Linked DNA regions of Struthio camelus. The protein of the gene in region 3 interacts with the protein of the main gene of each other region in a biochemical or structural test. Links are inferred from orthologs where the notes say so. Each region holds a gene or a part of one and is shown on either strand. Other genes may lie near its edges. The genes, in order: HOXB1, PKNOX1 and PBX1.

Region 1 (7,249 bases), on a different chromosome or scaffold from region 3:
TAGCTCAGAGCTGAGAAGATTTGCATGTGGAAAAAGTAAACTTTATTAGATTGAGGTAGTTTCATTTCAAAGTACAGAGCACGGGAAAGGGAGCGGAGACGAAACGGGAGAATCCGATTAAGAAATCGCTAGTTTTTCTCGATGTCGTTTTTCTCTTCGAAGCACTTTTTAACGACAGTTTCCGTGATTTTCATTTCGTTCTACGCTAAAATTTCTCGTAGGGAAGGGAAACAACTAATCATGGTTCAATAACGTTTTTATCGGACTTCAATAAGCCTAAAGGAGGGGGGGCGGTTTACAAGGAACCCTGCTACTTCGTTTCAAGACTTCAGGCTATCGACACACACCATAAATACCAGTCAGTCCATCAGTGTCTTGAGGGAGTCAAGAGCTGAGGTACCACTCCGCAGCCTTGTTCCCGTGCACATTCACACCTCGTACGACAATGACCGTTGCCCAAAGTACCCCGAGGTCAGCCTTCTCCTAATCTCGTTTTCTCTGATAGCATAACCCTCCCTCCCCCAGGACTAGTAACAATCATAGTCGAAGAGTGTGCAGAACCCTGTAAAGCAGTAATAGTGCAAAATGATAGAAGAGGAGTTGCATTTTTGACTTGTATTTGTTTGTATCTTTCCAGAGGCCTCTAGCATTTGGATGTCAGATCTCATTCCAAGATATACAAAGAGTAAATAAAAGAGAAACAAAATATGCCCAAAACTTTTTACACTCTCATAGGGAGGACAAAATACATCAAATGTAGGATTCTTGCAGACAAAAGTCATTGTGCACATTTTAAAAACAGGAGAGAACTAAATTCGTTTTAAAGTTTCTGTAGTTGAAAGTGCAGTTCCTATTGGGGAAGGAGAAGGGAAAGGGAGAGGGAGAAACATCCCTGAGACAAATGGCTATTGCTAAGAATATATGAGGACACGGCTGCTCCTTTGGAGTCCAGTGTTTTACAGCGGGTCTATAAATTAAGAGAGAGAAATGCAAGCAGGAGAATTAATATCGCACGTGTGGAGACGACTCTAGCCAAAGGGACTGCTCAGAGGGGACGTGTATCCTGCTTCCGCGCGGGTGGATGTGCCCGCTCTGCTCGTGCGTGTGTGTGGACGGGGCTGTGCATGGGAGGCGCGTGTTCGTGCGTGTGCGTCTGTTCGGGGCTGCCAGGAGCAGCTGCCCCGCCAGAGCAGACCCGAGTTGATCGCTGTGCCCCTGGAGGGACGTATTTCAGGAAGATACCGAACTGGGGGAAGCCTCAGGTGAGGTGCAGTTGGACTGATCCGATGCTTCGTTTGCTTCCTTCGCAGACCTGGAAGCAGCAACCGGGGCTAGACCTTCCTTTTCCCTCTTCTTCTGCTTCATCCGCCTGTTCTGGAACCAGATCTTCACCTGGGTTTCGTTGAGCTCCAGGGTAGCAGCGATCTCCACCCTTCGGGCCCGGGTGAGATACTTGTTAAAGTGAAACTCTTTCTCCAGCTCTGTCAGCTGCTTGGTGGTGAAATTGGTGCGGATGGTGTTGGGCTGGCCCAGCAGTCCGTACTCCGACACTTTAGCTGTTAAAAAGCAAACATCAACAGGGTAAGAGCAGCCAAAGCAATTCCCTCCCTAGGGCCGGGGACACTGTGGGTGCCTGATTAAGCGGGCTCTCCCCCGCTCCCCCAGTTTCCGGGGCATTTGGTCCCTCTACCACCCGCAGCTTGGTCCTTTCTCCCGGAGCCTGAGCTATCCTTGGCTTCCCAGCCCAGGGATATCACCTCGAGGGACAGATAGTCCCAGGCTCTGCCAAGCTGCCCCCTTCCTTTGCAACTGTCCCCCCGTTTTTCCTGCAAACTGCCATGAAACTTGAACGTGCGTGGGAAGGACTGGAAGGGGAGGGCGATGATGAGGGGAGGAGAGCAGACTGAAATTTAAAGAAGAAAGTAGAGAAGGAAGTTGAACAATGGGGGAGATGGACGCCACAACTGTGGAAGAAGCAGGAAGCCTGGAGCGTTTCCTATTCCGAGCTGAGCTTAAATCGCATTGGGCCTATGGGGAAGTGAGTTCAGGGACTCTCCACCAGATGCGTCTGGAATATCTCTAGCTGGCTTTTCTGCAGCGCTGAGCTGGTGTTTAAATGAGAATGAATCCATGTTCCCCTGGAAGATGAGCCTTGAGTACCAGCCCCAGGGAAGGCAGCCTTTACTAGCAAGGCTGCACAGCTGCCCCCCTGTCTTTCTTCTCCCTCCCCCGGAGGGGACCCATCCTCGCAAAGCTCTGCGCTCGCCAGACTCACCTGTTTTGGGCGGGTTCCTCTTCACTTTCATCCAGTCGAAAGTCAGCGTGGCGCTGGAGTTGGGGCATGGCTCAGAGGGGCACGCAGGGTCTTTGTCCTCATTTAGAGAAGGCGAAAGACTGCTGTAAACCGCGGGCAAATAGCCGGGCTGTTCCTGCCCGTAAAGGTGTTGTTGCTGGTACTGTCCAGCGGCAGCCACCGCCCCGCAGTAGCCCTCTGCTAGGGAGCTGAGGGTGGATCCCGCGCTGGCGGAGTACCCCGGCGCTTGGAAGTACGCGCCATCCGCATCCTGCTGGCCGAGGTAGAGCTGGTGATGCCCGTAGCCGGGGCTGCAGGTCTGGGCTGGGTACCCGGAGGCTGGGGCAGCGCCCGCGAAGGGGACGGTGCGCCCGGAGGAGGGCGGGTGGTAGCTGGGGCTCTGCTGGGGGAGAAGGGCAGCCGCGGCCGTGCTTCCTCCTACGCCAAAGCGCCCGTCTCCGTTAAAAGTGTCACTGGCAGGGCTACCTGAGCAAGAGGGGAAGGAAGGGGAGCTCTGCTCTAAATGATGGTAGGCGCCCGTCCCACGGTTACAAATTGCATACTCTAAGAAGGAGTTCATCCTAGTATTGTCCATCTGCCACTGATGGAGGAGGGTCAGCCTGTTTTGGGGGGGATTCCGCCTGCCCTACAACCTTTAGATAGTATGTCAAAGCTGTAAAACTTCCTTCCATGCATCGCTAGCCCTCGAAGCCCGGAGCCTTCGGCAGGGTTTGGGCTGGGGGCAGGGGCGGAGGCCACGTGGTCCGCTCCGAGCCCAATGAGCGAGGAGCTCCTGAAGTTTGTCAGATATCTGAGCTCATCCATCAAGGCCCTGACATTTGCATGACAAAGGGGTTTCAATCAAACCCTGCCCATCAATCTGATAACAACACGAATACGTCAAAATCTTTCCTCAAAGACTTTAAAAGAGAGAAGGGAGGTGGGGTGCGGGGAGGTGGAAGGGAAGAGGGGACTAGGGGAAGAATTACAATTATCCACGACTGTTTTAAGTGCTAAAGAAGCCCCCAAGTTATACGAGCAACCAATTTCATCAGAACTTCCCCTTCCCCCAACTTAAAAAGGTTTTTCCCCCAATCCTAGCTCCATCTGAAAATAAATAAATAAATAAAAGACAGAGAAAGACATAGGGAGATGGGTTTTTTTCCCCAACTACAAAAAGATGCCCTTTTCTTCATTTGGAAACTTTCCCTGAAAAGTGGCTTGAAAATGTTTGGAGTTTTCTGGGCTAAGAAGTCTACAAGAAGCTCCTAATTAAAAAAAATGCTCCATATGTTTTAATTTTGCCACACCGGCTTTGTGTCTAGAGCCAGTGTGGGTAAAAGCAATGTAATTAAATCAATATTCTAATGAGGCAATGAAATAAAGTTAGGAAGACAGAACGTCTTTTGTTGGAGAAATACCATGCACAGCTTAGTAATAGGAGGAATGGAACTAAAAATTATCTATGTGTCTGTCAACTCATATGTCTGTTTATCCATCCACTCATCCATGTGCCTACCTATCTATGTATTTATTATTGAAAACAATAGATGTTTTTAAGGGCTTTGACTAATGCTCGGACCTTAAGCTCTGCTTTTCAGTTACAAATTTGGTTTGATCTTTTCCTGAATCTATTGTAAGACTGTAATTTTCCTCTAGCAGAGTCCAGCTGATGAGTAGGTGGAAAGACACTGACTTCAGGCTGGCCACTCCGCTGCTCTTAGAATGGAAACATAGGTAGGCAACATTTATTTACTTGTTAGCAGAGGGGAGACAAGAGCACCCAACAATATGACGCCCACAGTCATTTGTTACTTGTCAGAATATTTACTGGTTATTCAGCCTTTAAGAAGAACCAGGAGGGTTTCTTTTTTCAGGCCAAAAGTTCACTTTGAAAGGCATAAACATATTCTCTAGTTCAGGAGTTTGGCTGATGCAACACGTTGGGGTAACATTTGTTTAAAAAAATGCAATCCATGCAGCCGTGGCATTAACCCTCCTCCAGCCTTTAAATCCCTTCGAGAGAAAAAGTGAGTTTTAGCCAGCTACATTTCTTTTCCTTCAATACAAAGAATAAAGAGAAAGTTATTGCCAATGCTGCATGGCTATTTATTCATTTATTCTGTAAACTCTGCTGATGCTGAAATATTCAAGAAGCAAATATTTGAGGTTACAAATGCTCTCTGAAACTCACTACAACCTTTTCTGCATAAAACAACCGAAAGCGATTATAAAGATTCAAGTCAACTATCATGTTGTAAGAGAAATTGGTTTCTAATTTGATTCCAGGAGTGCTTTTTATACTATGTTGCGTTCACGTTTAAATTGAATGTAGTATATTTAAACGATGCTTACAATAGATGATTTATGGATTTAAAATGAAAAAAGAAAAGGATAGATGTTTATTTCAGCCTTGAACCAATTGTTTCGTATTGTCTGATAATTTTCCACCATGATCTCACTCTAGTGTTACATTAAGGGGATGCTTTATGTCATTAAAATACAGCTGTCTTCTGGAGTTTCAAAATTAGCTCCAAGAGAGCTCACTACTGCAGTTATGGAGGCAAAAGTTTTGCTATGAAACTTCCCTCAGTGAAGCCTAAGCCAAACCTTAGACCTGAGGCAGTTTTGGCATGAAAGCAGAGTTTCTTTGGTGGCCAGACAAATCAGACAGGATGCAGTCAAAATGCTAGCCATGAAATACACCAAATACTCGGACCTGAGTGGAGGATGACATATGGTCCTTGGACTCCTGGGAACTACTCCAAATCCTAGCTTATTCGGGGAAAGTGAAGGTATTGGTGAGACGAGTACATGAAAGTGAAGATGCTGGTAGGACAGACAGGCGTGGAGGTGAAGGGACTTTGGCAGAGGCTGGAGGAGCCTCTTTGGAGGTACCTAATCACGAAAGACGGGCTGTGAGCTGATTTTCTCCCAGCAAGGGGACGCTGCGTTGCCAGTGCTGCCCTGGCACTGGTGGCCGTTTGCCATCTGCTCCACTCGGCCGGGCAAGGCCCCTCATTCCTTACCTGCTGGCGGCAGCCAAGGCAGCAAAAGACCTGGGCACGTATCCGGGAGGAGGGGGGGAAGGGAGAAGGAATGACAAATGAAAGGTGCTGGCTCCCCCCGCGCCCCGACTCTGCCTTGCGCGGGGCGGGGAGATGCCGGGGGCCAAACCGGCATCTCGGAGTCTCCGCGGAGCGCCCCGGCCCGGAGGCTACCGGCGGCCGCTGGCCACAGCTCCGCGCCCGGGGCTACCGAGTCGTCCCGGCGAAGCAGGCGGAGGCGCCCGTCGTTCGGCCCCAATAGCGCTCAGCGCCCGGCTGCTCTCCCAGAAGTGGTGCATGACCTGTGGCTGCTTCGCCGTATTTTCAAAAGCCCCAGCGTCAAAGTGCATGCAGGCTGCCCTTGGGAATCGTTTTTCCAAATTTTGTTCTTAGCTCCTTTCCTTTGATCCAATATAAAACTGCTGCTGTTATTATTATTGTTTTTAATTCCTCTCGTGGAGGCGATGTGAGACCCATTTTCGGTACAGAGCTTCAGAACTTGCAGGAAAAGGAAATATCAGATTATTGGTAACCAATCTCCTGGTGAACCTAGTTCTATTATTTACATATTTATTTCTTTAAAACACCCATTACGGCCAGTTGAGAGAGGAGGTGATCAAAATAACATAAGAAAAGGTGTAAGTGGAGACTCTCAGCTTCACAGACCTCTGTCCTTCCCTTCTCCTCCCCCCGAATATATTTAATTAGCCATTACCCTTTCATTATATTTATTGCTTAATTTTCACTTATTTATTGTGGGAAACAGTGGCGGCAGTAATTGTTCCTACCCCCTAAAGCACAAAAGGCGCCGTTTGGGGGATGATGCTCTCTTTCACTCAACGAGATTAAAATAGAATATACGGAGATGGCTGAAGATAAAGAGGAGCGGGGAATTTTTAGCTCTTGGTTCCTGGGAAAAGAATCTGTGCTGGCCAGGAGAGTAGTAGGTTGGTCAATGAGAGGAAGAGGAAGTCACTTTGTTGCTTGCTGGGTCAGATTTCTTGCATGGCGTTAAGTGTCTAGCCCTCCCCAGAAAAGAGCTGCTTTCCTGAGCTTGGTTTCCTATTCCCCATGAGGTAATGCAGGACTGCAGGCCTAATGCACTTCAGGAGTTATTGGCCTAAAACCCAGACTTTATGTGACGAGCGGATAGGAATGAGGAGGTGACCAGCGGAATAAGCGGTTTTTCCGCCCGGCTGCCGGCACTGCGGAGCTGGTGCTGGCGGGAGCGCGCCTTCTGCCCGAAACACACCCATGCGCCTCGGCAGCTCCGTCTACCCCGAAGCAGGGGCGGCCCAACATGTGCCGTAACGAAACCTAGGCATTTCATCAGCCGTCATTCATCTAATGCATTTCCCATGATGAAAGCACCCACTCCCTCTCACTATTAAATTAGCAGGGATACTGCTTTTGGTTCTCTAGAGAAAACCACGCCTTTATTCTCTCCAGTCCCGTTGAAGACATCTTTTTGAAGTAAACATTTTGCTGAGAGTGGATCCTCCCTTTTAGAGACAAAAAATAGACCCATGAAACTCGGTGCTGCAGCAGGCTGGGGGGAGGGCAAGGAGAGCTTTCGCCCTTTCCTAAGAGATGGCTTGTTTGCCCAGAAACAACTTTCTTGACATGTAGGATAAGGCCCCTCGGAAGATGCTTTGTGGGAACACCTCTTGTAGCAAATCTTCATCCAAGACAGACCGGAGAATTTTCTGTGCAGGAGACACAGACGAAAATTAAGCATTTCCAAGACTCCAGAGCGCTCAGACAGAGTCTTCGATGTTTCATTTTCGAGCTAAATATAACTCTCTGCAGAGAAAGTTGTGTCGTGCGTACGAAATGTCACTTCTGGCTCCTCGCGGGGTGATTTATAAGTAGCACTGCTGACGCTTGGGATGTGTGTTTGGCTGTGGAC
Region 2 (7,429 bases), on a different chromosome or scaffold from region 3:
GCCAAGTATCTAAAATGAGAAATCTCCTTTTTTTGCAGTAGATTAAATGCAGGTGAATGTTACATTATGCATATAGTTTTAAAATTTAGAACTTGGAGATTGCTAAAGGATGTCATAGAAACTCTAACTCATCTAGCAATTGTATGTATGAACTAGTTTTGCCCTCTAAGACATTCATGCAATCCTTCTATCAGTAAATTGCAACTGAATGTGTATTTCAGAGAACAGATTTGGAAGAGTGGCTTTTCTCATTTGGTGAGACAGGACTTTAATAGCTTAGTGTTTGCAAATACTTGATCCAACTGTGAGGTATTCTATTATGTATTTGGGACTGTTGTAGTAGCCAAGTAAGGCCCTGACCCTGCAAACATATCTGTGCATGCTTTATATAATGAGCTGTACTTAATGAGGATATTTCATATGTTCAATGTGAATAATGTAACAGGAATTTGAGAATCTGAGTATTTTATTATTTGCAGTTGCAAACCTAAATATTACTGAACCTCATTTTTGAAGTACTTGCAATTCACAATTGTAAAGTATTAAGCAGGCATTTCATTCACCTTTCCGTGCAGTTTTGGGGAGCTTTTTTTAGAAAAAAAGCAGCTATCTCATCACTGCCTCTTAAGTGAGTACACCTATATCAACGGAAACTGATAGTGTAAAACTGTATCAGTTGTGTAATAATCTTTACAAAATGTGTAATGTGGAGAATTCCCTCCTGTTAGCTGTCTTCAGTCCTCTGTTGTAAGGATCTGTTGTACTGGACACTGATCCTTTCGCAGAACTGATGCGGGGCAACACAATGTGTTCGGACAGTTGGAAACAGAAGGGTGTACCTATCTTTTCCTCTGATCATTTTTGTTTGCCTATTTTCCTTTGTACGATTTTTCTCATTTACTTCTTCATTCTTTTTTCCTGCTCCTCTCCGCCCAGTTCTTTCTATTTTCTGAGCGCTGCAAGCTTCTCACAAAAGCCTTGTAACTTTTGGTGCTTTTCTTAAATCTTTATCTCCTGGAGTCATTTCAGCCATCATATTTTTTAAAAGCAAGCTTCTTAGCTTTCAAGCCTGCAGAGGATGTATCAGGGAGAGCTGAAAATAAAATGAGAAACAAGGAACTCTTGACAGTGGTTATGTACACTGCATTCAGTGAATTTAGAGATGGGCAGCTGGAAGGCACAAGTTGGATCAAGGGTGATTTTTACGTTGCTTTTCTAAGGGAACAAGGCGTATGTGGTCATGTCATGTAGGGTATACCATGGGATTTAATCACATTTGAACCTAGTGACTTACTTCAGTACCATAGGAGAGAGGATTAAAATTTTCAAAAATAATTTAGTTCCTATAACTTTCATGAAACCTAGTCAGGTAGGGAAGAGGCATCATGCACTCCCTGAATGATGGAACACGCATGAGCTTTTAGGCAACAGAGAGTTCACTGACTGAACAGACCCCTTATGGATACCAAAACTTCAGAAGAAGTTTCAGTCAAAGCTTGCACCTCCTTAGACCCCCAAGTTAATCAACCATGAGCCACAACTCAGTAGGAAGCTAGGATTTCTTAATCCCAGTGCTTGGGAATCACATGCTTTAAGACTGAGGAAGCTAGAACATATTTATATTACGAAGAGAGTAAAAGACGGAGGAGAAAAAGGATGGAAATTAGCTTAATTTCAAAGCAGACCAAGAAGCGGGATTACTCGGGCAAGGGGAAGGCAGCAGAGGAGAAATTTCTGCCCCTGTTGGAAGGGAAGGAGTTGAGGAAGAGAAAGTGACAGGAAACAAAGAAGGAAAATCAAAACTAAGCAAAGGAGAAAGAAAAATTCAAGTTGGGAAAGGCATCCAGAAAGGCTGTGAGGATAACTGGGAGAAGGGATTGAACAGGAACTAAATTAGTTTGAATTTAAGCTGTTCTTTTTCAGAGAAAATCACTGAACTCCTGTCCAAAGAAGTGCAGGCAAGGCAGAAGGAGAACAAAGGGTTTGCGAGGTGAATCAAATCTGAGGAAGAGGCAGGTCTGGGCATGGGAACCAGTTAATTTGAAGAACTGTTTAGTGAATGTGTCATTAACGAATGTGTCAGAGATAATGAGAGAAGAAAGTGGTGGTAGAAGAAGTCTGCTTGACCACAGGAATTCTATTAGAGATGTTATATAGTGCGAGAGCAGAAACAGAATCTTGTGAGCAAGACAAACTAAGAGTTGTATTATTTTTTTAAATCTTGGGTTTATTCTTTTAAGTTATGCACAGGAACTTGCAGATCTGATTCACACATTTGAACACTTTGGACTGGCACAGTTCATTCTCTTTCCTAGTCTCCCTGCAAGATGTGCAAGTTTTCTTCATGTTCACAAGCCTTGTATCCATGTGGTTCTGACTGTATGGGGAAAAATGGCTAGAAAATGAACTCCTGTAAAGGATCCAGGTGGTGCAGTGAGAGGATGAAAGGACTGTTTGTGACTGGAGAAATGGTGGCAGTGTGCACAGAGCAACTAGATTCCTGAAAACCCAGAGCCAGCTAAGCAGGGTCTTGACATAATGGTTACGCTCAGAGGACTGAAGACAGAGCTGGCTTGCAGGAACATTTATTTAGCTGGTTATATTAATTGCCTATTAGCCAGACCTTCTTTATTAATTGCCTATTAGCCAAATCTTCTTTAAGTGGCCTGGTGCTGCAAAGTGTTGTATAAAACAAAATGGAGGGCTTCCTACTGTTAAACCAACAGAAAAACATGGATGGATCTTCAAAAACGCAGGGCATATTCCAGTTTGTAGAGGTACAGGATAATCAGGTAGATTTCCAGCTACTATGCTGCAGAGGGGCTACAAAACCTGGAACAAACCCCATTTTTGTTTTGAGCTGCGTTTCCTAAGGAGATGAGACTTTCTGTGTATCAGTTCCTGCATGCCCAGGATAGCTTTGGCCCTCAAAGCCTGCTTGGCAGAGAGGGCGAGACTACTAAGATGTGAAGGTTCCTTCCAGTGTCATGAGAACGAGGAGCAAAGAGATCATCTCAGTGAACCCACTGAAAGATGTAAATGCAAGCCCTTTTACACACTACAGAATCTACAAGCAGGGAAGCTCTCTAAATGTCCCAGTGACAAAATCATACAGCCATGAGGCAAGTAACAAGTCACAAATCACACTCGCCTAATTCTCCTGTTCATCGTACTGCTTACTTAATAACAGTTTAGGTGAACACACTCAGTGGGGGTGAAAGGGGAAGGAAAGGCTACGGCAGAGTGCTGCTTTTTTTGCAAACAGAGAAAGGACACACAACTGCAGTACAAGAAAGAGATCTGTGACCAGCACCTTCTCCTTTACTATTTCCTGATGGCGGTCAGGACCACGGGCAGGATCCTGCGGTCCTGGGCATGTGCTGGCTCCGGAGGTGTAGGACGAAACATGGGAGCAGGTGGGAGGGCAGGAAGGAGCATGTTTTAGGATCCTAGCCGGTGCAAGGGATCTCTCAAGTCGCCAAGGCCAGGGCTGGGCTAACACGGGAGCCACGCAGGGCCATCCTTGCCCAAAGCAGACGGGACAAGGTCCCTCCGGGACCGCCTGGGCGCTCGCCCCGGCTAACAGACAGGTGCAGGACCTCTCTCCTCTGAATGCAAAACACTGGTTCTGCTAAATATCAGCTGGGATCGAGCATGTTCCTGCGCTCCCCGAGCGACGCCAGCTCTTGGCTTGGAGGCACCAACTGCTGCCCTGCCGCCAACCGCCAGCGCGGGGGAAAACCTCGCTCCTGGTCCCTAGACAAGGGCTCTGGCGCGGGTCTCCGAGGCTGTCCGGTCCGTGCCCGCGGAGCCGCCCGCCGGGGCGGCCGGGGGCTCCCCCTCACCCTGCGCCTCGCTCCCCGGGCTGGGCCCCCGGCCCCCCCCGCCGGCAGGGCGGCCTAAGGCCCGGGTGGCCGAGGCCGGGCACCACCGCACGCCGGCGGTGCGGGCCCACGCGCCACGGGCCCCGGGCTCCCCGCCCGTGTCCTTCCTTCCCCCCCCCCGCCCGGGGGCCAGCACTCCCCGCTCCGGGGGGGTAGGGGCACCCCCGCCGGGGGCCGGTGGGGCGCTGAGGGGGTGCTGCGGCCCGGGCCGGGGAGGCGGGCGGCAGGCGCTCCCCGCCACGGCTGTCGCCTCCCCAGCCTCCGCGCCACTTGGTCTCTACCTCCTCCCCCCTCTTCAAGAAGGTGGTTTCACCTCCCCCCCCCCAACCCCGGACCCGGGGGAGGGGCGTGGCAGGGCCCGCTCGGGATCCCCCGCCCCCTTCGTGCATATTCATGAGGTGTGAGCCCGGGCGCGCCGGCGTAGGGCGGTGGCGTGCGGCCGCCCCGCCCCGCCGCCACAGCGGGCGCCGCGGTGGGCGTGCCCCGCGCCGGCGCGTGCCCCGCCCCGCGCGGTGAATATTGATGAGGCGTGATGCGCGGCGTGGTGTCGTGTCGGGTGGCGCGGCCGGCGATTGGCCGAGTGCGTGTGTGCGCGGTGACGCGTGTCGCGGCGGTGCGGGTCCCGATTGCTGCAGCCGCTTGTCAGTGTGACGAAGATTGGCACCCAGGTAAGCGCTGTCACTCAAACCCGCTCCCAGCCAGCCAGCCAGCCATCCATCACGGCGCGCCCGCCGCCGCCGGCCGGCCGGGCCCAGGCGCACAACCAGACCGGGGATGGGGGGGTGGGGGGGAGGCCGAGCCCGGCACACGGAACAGCGGGGAGCGGGGGGGCACCCGCACTGTAACTAACCCAGAGGGGGGTTAGGGGCGGTGGCGGGCAGGCGCGGGAAGGGGAGGGAGGGAGGGAGGGGGGGGAGCGAGGAAATTTCTGGAACAGCCGCCGTCTAACCGTTGTCTTTGTGGGCGCGCGGGCGGGGGCGCGCACGCGCCGCGGGCCGGGCGCGGCGGGGAGCGCGCGCGGGCGGGCGGAGGGAGGGAGGGAGCCGCGGCGAGAGGGAGCGCCGAGAGCGAGACAGCTGTTGGGCGCCGCGCGGAGGGGCCGCGGCGGCGGGAAAGGGGGCGGGAAGGGGGCGACGGGAGGGGGGGCGGGGGAGCCGGCGCGATATTTAAAGGGCCAGCGGCGCTGCTCGGAGGCCTTCCCGTGGAGGGGGCGGGGGGGGGGGGGGTGCCCAGAGTAGGTGATGGTGGCAGCGGTGACTCCTCGCAGCCCTCTTTGCCCTCGTCTTCCCCCGTCTTCCCCCTCCGGCCCGCGGTTTAGCCAGGACCCCGCCGACCTGTCCCTGCCCTGAGGAGCCCAACGCAGCTCGCGAAGCCCTCGCCTGTGGGAGGGGGAATAAAGCCGTGGCGGCAGCTGCTGCCGTCGCCTCCCCTCCGCACCTGCCCCGGCCCCGGCGCGGGCGCGCAGCCATCGCCGCGGCCTGGACGGGTGCGGCCTGGGGGGGGGGGGCGCGGAGGGGGCTGCCAACGGCCGCTGCCGCGCGCGGACCCCATGCCCTGCGCAACGCACGCGGTCGCGGCCTCGGCCCCGGGGCGCCGGCGGGGCTGGGGCGGTGCACCCCTGCCCCGCGGTCGCGGGCGGCGCGGCCCCCTGGGAGAGCCGGTGCTGGCGCGTCTCTGGTTTTGCTTCCCCAACCCCCCCCCCCCCCCCCAAATTCATAGAAAGCAAATTATGATAGTGGTAGGCACTTGGGGCAGTGTGTGTGCAGTGTTAGCGTGAGGTGGTGGTTTCTTCTTCTGTTTTTTTTTTTTTTTTTAATTTTTGATATGACCTCATTGTTTCTTGGCTCTGTTGTGAGTAGAAGCTTCTTGACACCTAGACCGAGGCTTCCTGAGTGTTTACACAGCCGCAATTAGGAGCTGAAACTTGACATTGCCCAGAGGCCCCACTTATGATGTGTGTAAACAATAATAAATCAAGTACTGGTTTTATCCTGAAATATTGTCTCAATTAGCCACATGTCCTGGGTCTCCATGGAGGAGTCGATAGCATTCCCTCGTTCCCATAACACCAGCTGTATGGCCTAGAGTTCATCAATTAAAACTATAAGTGGTTAACACTTCTGTGTGATACTTCTCTGCCAAAGTTTATCTGTGTCTTGTTTAATATTTCTTTTTTTTTTTTTGTCCTAAATGGGAACATGCCATGTCATTTTAGAGACAACAGTATTCTTAGCTGCAGTTGGTGACCCCTTTTTTGTCAGTTATATCTAAGTAAATGACTAATGTCATTTTGGGAAGGATAATGAATCTCTACATCTGGTTAGATACCCTTATAAATTATTTTTTGCTATGCTATGAATTACTTGTTTGGCATAAGTAGTTGAGTGCTGTCCAGGCAAGATTAATTTTTGTCCTTGTCCCTATATGAAATAACCGTGTGTGTGTTCCGTTAAATATGACACTGAAATAGAGAGCATAGACCATATGTTCCGGTTTGCAGACGTTTAAGATCACTTGAGCCAGCATTTTGTGGAGAATAGGGGGAGGGTTTAGGAAGTTTTCATTCGTGTATGCTAAACCTCTCATCTGCTTAAAGACTTCTTTCTTAATCTTTACAAAATCATACCACTTTACGATGTGCCAGTTCATAATGCTGTTTATAACATTCTTCTGGGGAAAGAAAATGCTCTGCACAAATTTTTACCAGTGTTGTTTTCTTGATTAGGGGAACTGTTATGACTCTAGCTCAATAAATACATGTATCTCACTGTTGTCCACACTATGAATAGGCTCATAAGATCTTTCCCTTTCCTGCGTGGGATATAAACTGTCTACGATGTGCCTATACCATAGTATTGCATTACCATAATTATGCATGTGTAGTTAAAGTGATGGAGCTTCTGGCCATAGGCAAGCACTGAGATCCTGTTTCAGAATAGATCCTGGTTAGTCCATGTTAGCTACATGTACACATTTTATGGATTATACTGAAACAGGAAGCAAATTGTTGTGATCAGATCGGAAATCTTACTATGCGTTTGCAGAGTTTGTCATTACTGGAATATAAAGCAACAACAAATGTGTTTTGAGTGCATTTTCTAAATGGCTCCATAAAATAAATATAACGTTGCAGAATTATCCTTTCCTGAATCTATGCCTGGCCATGTAATTAAATTTAAATTTTCAAAAACTTTTGAGAAAAGAAACAAAAAATTCACATGTAGTCAGTCTGAAGGAGCAGTTGCACACTTTTAAGTCTCTTTTTTTAAATCTGTACAAATAAGTATATATTTTCATTGTAGACTGCTTTAGCTTTATGCATTTTCTTGTCATCTTACGATTAAAGTATCCACGTGAAAACTTCAGTGTAGATTTTGCGATGATTTCTTAACATAAGCTTCAATTGTGTGAATGGCTGGAGGCATAACTCCGTTTACTTCATTTGCAAGAGAAATGCAGTGTGGTTTAGAGAATATTACGCTGCACTGAGACTTGAAAGACTGATTTTATTCATTGTCATTGACCTGCTGAGTGATTTTTGGGAA
Region 3 (7,415 bases):
CAATCTATACACAATCCATCTCCAGGCATTCAGATTTTGGACAGTAGAGTAAAATATTCTGTGGAACTCGGCCTCCCTTCACCAAAATGAAAACGTGTAGGGAGCCGCAGGCCGGGGGACTTGCTCCCGTTCCGTCACGACGCGAGCGCTCAGGGGCCATGACTGCACGCTTGGGATGAGTGACGCAAGCCTATGAGAAGACGCTCATGGACATTCAGAGAAACAGCGCGTTTGGCCTTCGTTTTCGAGGGCTTCGCTTTGCCACAGTAATGATGCGTTAAAAACAGCTTGATTTTCATTTAATAAATAATAGGAATGACGCTAAGAAGGAGCCAAGATTTTAAATAAGGGACTCCCATAAACATTTTCTTCAGGAATCTGTGATCAACCAAAGATAGCGTTAGACGTACTTACAGGGAGTGGGGAAGACAGACTTGGAATCCGTCCATCTGCTTCACCATTGAAACAAACCACTTTATAATAACCACAGAGGAAAGGAAGCGATGCAGCTTGGCGTATACACTTATACTATGTGTGGTGGAAATGTTTATTCTTCATTTCAGAAAGATTTAGTGAGTGTAGAGATAATAGAGCATAGTGTTTGCTTGTATCGTGGGGAAGGAGGGGTGACAGTATTTGGGTTTTAAGGGAGTCCAGTGTCGGCTCCCATGGGGAACATTTTGGGTAATACCTATTGCAATCTCAGGCACTTGGAAGGCAGAAGGAGACAGAGGAATGAAACGTGCTTTTTCAGGAGAGGCGTTATAAAGGCCCAGGATTAGCTATCTCCAACAAGAAGGATTTTACAGACTCCAGTAGATAGCAGAGGCAGAGCCTTGGCCATTCCTGCCCTGCCCAATTGCTCCCCCAAGGGCCCCCTGCCGGAAAGCCTCCCTCGTGGTAGGACTCACCGCCTTCTGGGTCACTCTCCGTTTTCCATGGGAAACGCTGGGGGGCCACCCTGGACCCACAGACAGCTCATCTCCAGCACTTGCCCCCTTGCATGCCTCATACCCCACCACTGCTGGCTGACCTGTAGTGTCCTCCTGCTCCTGTCCTCTGGTATTGGCTTGATTAGCCAGAAGCATTGCATTGTGACTTGGGAAAGGGGGGAAGGACTTGTCTGTGGGGTCAGCAGGCCACCCTATCCCGTGGGCCCCGCCATCACTGGGGCATCGCTGCCTGTCCCTCCCCTCTACACCACTCCCTAGTCTGCAGTCCGTGTTCAGCTCAGCTGCAGCTCCTCTCCTTGGAGCTGCTCAAGATCAAATAGGAAAGACCCTGTCCTGACCTCTGGGGATGGGACAGTCCCTGCCAGATTTTTAGACAACACATGTCTAGACTTGGTGTGTGAGCAAGCGAGTGAAGAGATGACTAAGTGTCTGAAAGTTTGGAACTTCGGAGAGGAGTCCCTTGGCTGATGCGTTTTTCTTGGATTAAGTTCCATTTCCTGTGAAGCCATGTAGATAATGGATATTTTCTCCCATTTTTGGCCCTTTCAAAAAAAGTAAAAAATATATAGATATATTTTTGGGGTGAGAAAACAGAAACCTTTGAAAATTTTGGCAAATCAAGGGGAAAAAAAAGAACGTGTGTTAAGTGAAACATTTCACAGAGACAAAAATCAAAACATCTCACTTTGGCTTCAACCACTTTAAAACATTTTAATGGTTCAAAAGGAAATTTCAAAATGAAAAGTCATGTTTTGCTTAAAACATTGGAAAGTGTTTCATTAAAATAGAAGAGAGGAAGCAAAACTATTGCTTCTTTATTTATTTATTTATTTATTTTTCCTTTCCAATGAACTGGGTGGCTCTTTCCTCAGCCTGTGCTGCAATTAGGAACAGGGCATGGCCTTTCTTCCCTTGCGTTACAAAGGACCTGGAACTTAGAAACTCTCAGATCCGAGAAAGGGACAATCTGAAGAAATCATCCTCCAAGCAGGAAATGCTTGTGATCACCAAAACTACTTTCTATTTCTTAAAAATACAAGTTTGCAGGCAAGCCTTAGCTTCAGGCCATCCCTGGTCATCACTTGCCAATGCCTACAGAGGTCTTTTTGGCCAGGTGACAGTCTCAGATCCAGGGGAACACAGGAAGGGGCTGGAGAAGTCCTTTACTTCTTGAGTGCTGTGACACTGTAACCAACCCATGTAGATCTGAATGGCAGTCACCGTGGCCTTAGGACCTCTGCTAACTTCCCCTGCTCAGAGGGCGTACTGGTTGGGCAGAGCGCTGGCTCCAAAACAAGCTTGGGAGCAGTGGTGGTGGTTGTGGTAGTGGGTGTGTGGGTCCTGCTGGTGTTCAAGGGTAAGGGACATGGCAAATCGATGGGCTTGCTTCAAAGGGATGTGGCCTTTCCTGACCTTCCTCCTCCTCCCAGACGTCCCCCTGAAGGCCTATAAATCACAGAATCACAGAATCGTTGGGGTTGCAAGGGACCTCTGGAGATCAACTAGCCCAACCCCTCTGCTCATGAAAGGTCACCTCGAGCACATTGCATAGGATTGTGTCCAGATGGCTTTTGAATATCTCCAAATAAGCGATATGTGGGTGCCCTTTCTTCCCTGGACCTGAGTGGTGGATCATGGAAGAAGAGCAGAGGAAGAAGGTGAGGAGAAGCTGGATATCCCTTGCCTGGCCCAGCCACCCTCACCCCACTGCGTCCTGCTCCTCCAGCAAACGCCCACCTACTCCTGTCCTAGTTCTCACCCCTTGTCCCCATGTCCCTGCTCAGCCACTGAACGCCTACTCCTCCCACTATGGTTGGAGACAAGATGCCTGCGTGTGGGTTGAGGAAACATCTGACACCACCATCTTCTAGTCTGGTGGATCCCCAGGGGCTCCCTCTTCCATTTCTGGGTTTTGCTTGTCTGCCTCATCCCTCCCCAACCTTCTTTGGAAGGCCTTGGAGGAACTCCTCGGCATGTGAATATTTCCAGACAAATCAGGGCTCCTTCCTCCAAACCGTGCAAACCACAACCCCATTTCCTCCCGTGGAAGGAGAGCAAAGGGATCGATGACAAAACAGAGCCCCGGCAGAGATCTCCCGGCAACAAGCCTGGGGGCCACAAACCCACTGTGGTTTAACCGACAAACGTCCCCCTCCAGCCCCTCAACCTCTCCGTTAAGGGCAGTCCCCACCGCTCCCCGCACAGGACGCGGCACGGCCGGCCTGCGCGAGACGGGGTGCGCTGGTACAGCCGGCTCTCCGGAAAGGCCCCGCTCGTGGGGCTGTGCGGGAGCCCAGTCAGTGGAGGAGGAAGGAGAGAGAGAAGGCGCAGTGAAGAAATGCCGGCAGCGGAGGCCAGAGGGAAGGAGCCCGGCTGGCGCCTGGGGGGCAAAGGTGCGGCCTGGGGGCCGCAGCGCTGTGGGCTGAGGGCAGAGGCCCCGCGCCTCACCGGGCAGGGGTGGGGAAGGCAGAGGCGGCTGGCTGAGGGGAGACGGGGCCGAAGGGAGGCCGAGGAGGCGGGAAGGCCGGCGGAGGGGAAGCTGTGGGGCGGCGGAGGGGAGGCGAGGGGCTGAGGCCTCCTGGGGTGGGGGGGGGGAGCCGAGGCGGCGGCGGGGAGCCGTGGAGGCCGCTGAGGGGAGGCGCAGGGCCGCGGCGCCGCCGGCGGAGCCCGGCGGGCGGAGCGGCAGCAGCGGCCGGGGCCGCTTTAAGGCGCGGGCGGGGCGCGGCCCCGGCCCACCTCTGAACCCGGAGATTGACGGGCGGGCGCGGCGGGGGCGGCGCGGCCGTGGCGGGGCCGCCCTTCCCGCCGCCGCCGCCAATGGCGCCGGGGGGGCGGGGAGCCGCGGCGGCAGCGGCGGTGGCCCCGGCCTTCCTTCCCCCCCCGCCCCCCGCCTCCCTTCCTGCTCCTCGGGCTCCTCCGTGCCAGTTTGAGGAGTCCGGAGCTGAACAAAAGCAGGCGGCGAGCACCGGAGGGGAGGGAGGGAGGGAGGGGGGAGCCGGTGCGCGCAGGCCCGGGGCGGAGGGGAGGCCCCGCTGGCGGGCGCGGAGCGGAGCCGAGGAGAGGAGCGAGCCTCGAGCCCGGTTCGGCCCGGCCGCAGGGTTGGGGTGGGCGGGCGGGGGGGCGGGGGAGGGAAAGTTTGGAGCCCTCCCCCGGTGCGCGCTGCCTGCCCGGCTCGGCGGCGCTCGGGCCCCGGGCGCTCGGCGCTGCCATCGCGGCGGCCGCTCCGCTCCGCCCCGCCGCCGCCGCGGCCCGGCTGCCGCTGCCCCCCCCGGCCCGGCCCGGCGCCGCCTGCCCGGCCGCCCCCCGGCCGCCGCTGCCGGGCGGCAGGGCTGAGCTGCCCTGCTTTTGGAGTCGCCGCCGTTTCCCCTCCCTTCCCCGGAACCCCCTCCCTCTCTCCCTCCCTTCATCCCTCCCTCCCTCCCTCCCTCCTCCAGCAACCAAAGGGATTTTTTTTCCCCCTTTCTTTTCTCTCTCTCGCTCCTCTCTTTTTTTTTTTTTTCTCCCATTTTTCCCTCCTCCTCTTCCTCCCCGCCGCGGAGCTGGAAGCCCAGCGTGAAGGATAAATAAAAAGCAAAGAGGAAGAGGCTGAGGAAGAAGCGAGGGGGGGGGGGCGGCGGTTGGGGGGGGAGAAGGAAGAGAAGGAAAGAAGAAGAAGAAGAAAGCGAGCAAGAAAAGAAAGCGAGCGCGGCGGCGGCGAGCCCCAGCCGCAGCCCCAGGCGCGCCGGGAGCCAGGCAGGGAGGCGGCCGAGGGGAGCCGGGGACTGGAAATGGATGACCAGCCGCGGCTGATGCACACGCACAGCGGGGTGGGGATGCCGGGCCACCCGGGCCTGTCCCAGCACATGCAGGATGGACCAGGCGGGGCGGAGGGGGAGGCCGGCAGGAAGCAGGACATCGGAGACATCTTACAGCAGATCATGACCATCACGGACCAGAGTTTGGACGAGGCGCAGGCCAGGTGAGAGCCGCCGGGGGGGGGGGGGGGGGGCAGCGCGCCCTGCCCGCGGGGGCAGGTGCCGGGGCGGCGGCGGCGGCGGCGGGGAAGTTTCCCGGGGGCCGCCCGGGGCCGGGGCCGCCGCCGCCTTTTGTGCGCCCTGCGCGGCCCCCGGCGCCGTCTTTGTTGTCCTGCGGAGGAGCCGCGGCGGCTCCCGGCAGGACGGACAGGCCGGGCTGGAGGGCGCGGGGGGGGGGGGGGGGGGACGACGACTTATTTTTCCAGAAATTGGCCACTTGGGAGGGAGGGAAAGGAAAGGAGGGCTTTTCTTTCTTTTTTTTTTTTTCCTTTCTTTTCTCCCCCCCCCCCCCCCCCAACTTTGGGCCAGTTTCCTGCGGGTTTGCAGCTCGCCGGCTCCGCGGGGGCGGAAAACCGTGCTGGGCTTGCGGGGAGACCGATGTGTTTTGAACGCCGCCGAAAAACGCGTGAAGTGCTGTTCCATCTTTGGACGCGGTTTTTCTTTTTCTTTCTTTCTTTCTTTTTTTTTTTTTTTCCTTTCCCAACCATGCTCGTTTGGGGCCCCGCGTTGTTATTTTTAAGGCCGTGTTTTTATGCTCGGAGGACGTACGTAGAGGCTTTAAAAAAAAAAAAAAAAAAAGGCAGAGGCGTTTAAGGAAGAAAGGCTGCAAAAGCCGGCACCCGAACCGCCCGTGGCTTCAAGGAGCGCAAGCCTGACGCGCACCTTCAAAGGCGCTAGCCAAAGTTAGGGGTGGGGGGGGGCAAAAAAAAAAAATCCCCAAACTGAGGACATAGTTCCAAAAAAAAAAAAAAAAAGTTGCCCCAAATGCTCTGGGGTGCATTGGGATTTTCTTCTGCGCTGCCGAGCGGTGAGGTGTGGTGTCGTTCCCCCTGGCATTTATGCTCCGAACTGGAACAGATTGCTAGAATACATTGTTCCTGGAAAAACGCACCGTGCAGCCCGCTCAACTCCCTTTGCGAGAACTTCCAGAGGGCTGGAAGCAGCCCCCAGACCTCTGTTTACATCACGTCTCCCTGCCTTCCCGCCTGGTGCGCAGCTCCCGGCTCCCGAAAACGGTGCTCATGGGGATGAGCTTACTAATTCTTGTGTGTTCTTGCAGGGACAGAGTAGCTCTTAGGAGGAGGAGGAAATACTGCGCTCTCTCCCTGGTCAGCCTGGGGGAAGCGAGGGCTCTTTCTCCTGAAAGTGCCAGGAATTTTGTGTGTTCCTGCGTGAGTAATTTAGTGCAGTTAATCAAATCAGTAAAACCAGTCCAGAACAGATCTAGAAGAAGGCTTTATGATTTTGCTTTGCTGGACTATTTCAGCTGCTTCCTCCACACTTTTGTTTTTGAGCTGCCAAACGCGCAGTATTTATCAGTGATGTTTGGCTTTACGTTTCCTGCATCCATCCCTCTATCGCACGGTGGTTTTGCTGCCTTTTTTTTTTTTTTTTTTTTTTTGCTGGTGAAGTTTTGGGAAGATGCAAAGTGCCGGTATTAATTGTAAGAGGGCCCCTAAAGCTTATGTACGTGATTTGTTTATACCCAAGTGTCTGTGCCCATCTGGGTGTGCTGATAAGGAGACACTGTGGTTCCACCAGGGTATATACCTTTGAGAGGCTTCACTGTGCACATATAAATCTCTTTAACATGTTGTGGGGTAAGTAGTGTGAATGTTTGCCAGATGTTCACATCGTCTTCACATGTAATTTTGGTTGGTAAACAGAATTGCCGTAAGTGGCGCCTGATAGGAGCAGCCCTTTATACAGCTAGACCCTCTGCAAAATGATCGTATGGCTTAAAAAAAAAAAAAAAGATGCTGTTTCTTTGCCTCAGCAGGCACATGGTGGGTTTCAAAACGATCAGATTAAAACCCTCCCCTTTCCCCCCTGCAGCTCCCTTCTTTCCTCGAAACCCACGGAAGAACGGCCAGCTCCTAAATAACATCCACCGAAAGCAAGAGACATTGAGTCGGACTGTCCCCTTCCCCAGAAGCATCTGGCTGCGTTGTTAAACGTGCTTGGTGTCCCAGTTGTAAAGAATTAAATTTTAACACCTGCCCCTAAGCTGGGTGCCTGCGAGAGGTGTAGCACGAGCGCGGGGAAATGCAGCTCTTCCTCCAGACGCGCGTGTGCCTGTGGCTGTGCGTTTCCGTCCTCCGAGCTGGGCGCTGAAATTCCCAGAATTGACAGCTCTAATCAGGGGCTGTTTCCAGCCCTGTGAAAAGGGGGGGCATCCCCCCCCCCCCGCCTTGCAGATGAACTGAAGGAAGCACATGGCCGAATTTAATATCGGAGGTGGGAGACGGAGGGAGCCCTCTCCGTGCGTGCCCGTGTTCGAACAAGCGAGTCAAACCAAGCTCGGCTTCCCAAAGCCCCCGGCTTTGGCTCGGCGCGTAGCCCGCCTTGGACCGCGAGGCTCTGCAAGCCCCTTGGTGGCAAATGCTGTTTTCAGGCCGTTTCTGAATTGGCACAATTCCTCTGTTCCCCGCGAGGCAGGCGGCCTCGG

What was found.
Region 1: the proteins of PBX1 (region 3) and HOXB1 are reported together in a solved structure, tested with the Homo sapiens proteins (2 studies listed by BioGRID and IntAct, with this or other methods). The link is inferred for Struthio camelus from reciprocal best matches to the Homo sapiens genes PBX1 and HOXB1.
Region 2: the proteins of PBX1 (region 3) and PKNOX1 form a complex in vitro, tested with the Homo sapiens proteins (2 studies listed by BioGRID). The link is inferred for Struthio camelus from reciprocal best matches to the Homo sapiens genes PBX1 and PKNOX1.

Annotation. Positions count from the first base shown.
Region 1 is NC_090966.1:5,489,063-5,496,311, reverse strand, and holds HOXB1 (homeobox protein Hox-B1), read right to left. Parts: upstream 3,074-7,249; 5' UTR 2,889-3,073; coding exon 2,276-2,888; intron 1,557-2,275; coding exon 1,231-1,556; 3' UTR 23-1,230; downstream 1-22. UniProt on the Homo sapiens protein: Sequence-specific transcription factor which is part of a developmental regulatory system that provides cells with specific positional identities on the anterior-posterior axis. Acts on the anterior body structures.
Region 2 is NC_090942.1:125,189,658-125,197,086, forward strand, and holds the start of PKNOX1 (homeobox protein PKNOX1), read left to right. Parts: upstream 1-4,408; 5' UTR 4,409-4,552; intron 4,553-5,707; exon of another isoform or gene 5,708-5,838; intron 5,839-7,429. UniProt on the Homo sapiens protein: Activates transcription in the presence of PBX1A and HOXA1.
Region 3 is NC_090949.1:7,807,008-7,814,422, forward strand, and holds the start of PBX1 (pre-B-cell leukemia transcription factor 1), read left to right. Parts: upstream 1-4,381; 5' UTR 4,382-4,720; coding exon 4,721-4,911; intron 4,912-7,415. UniProt on the Homo sapiens protein: Transcription factor which binds the DNA sequence 5'-TGATTGAT-3' as part of a heterodimer with HOX proteins such as HOXA1, HOXA5, HOXB7 and HOXB8. Binds to the DNA sequence 5'-TGATTGAC-3' in complex with a nuclear factor which is not a class I HOX protein.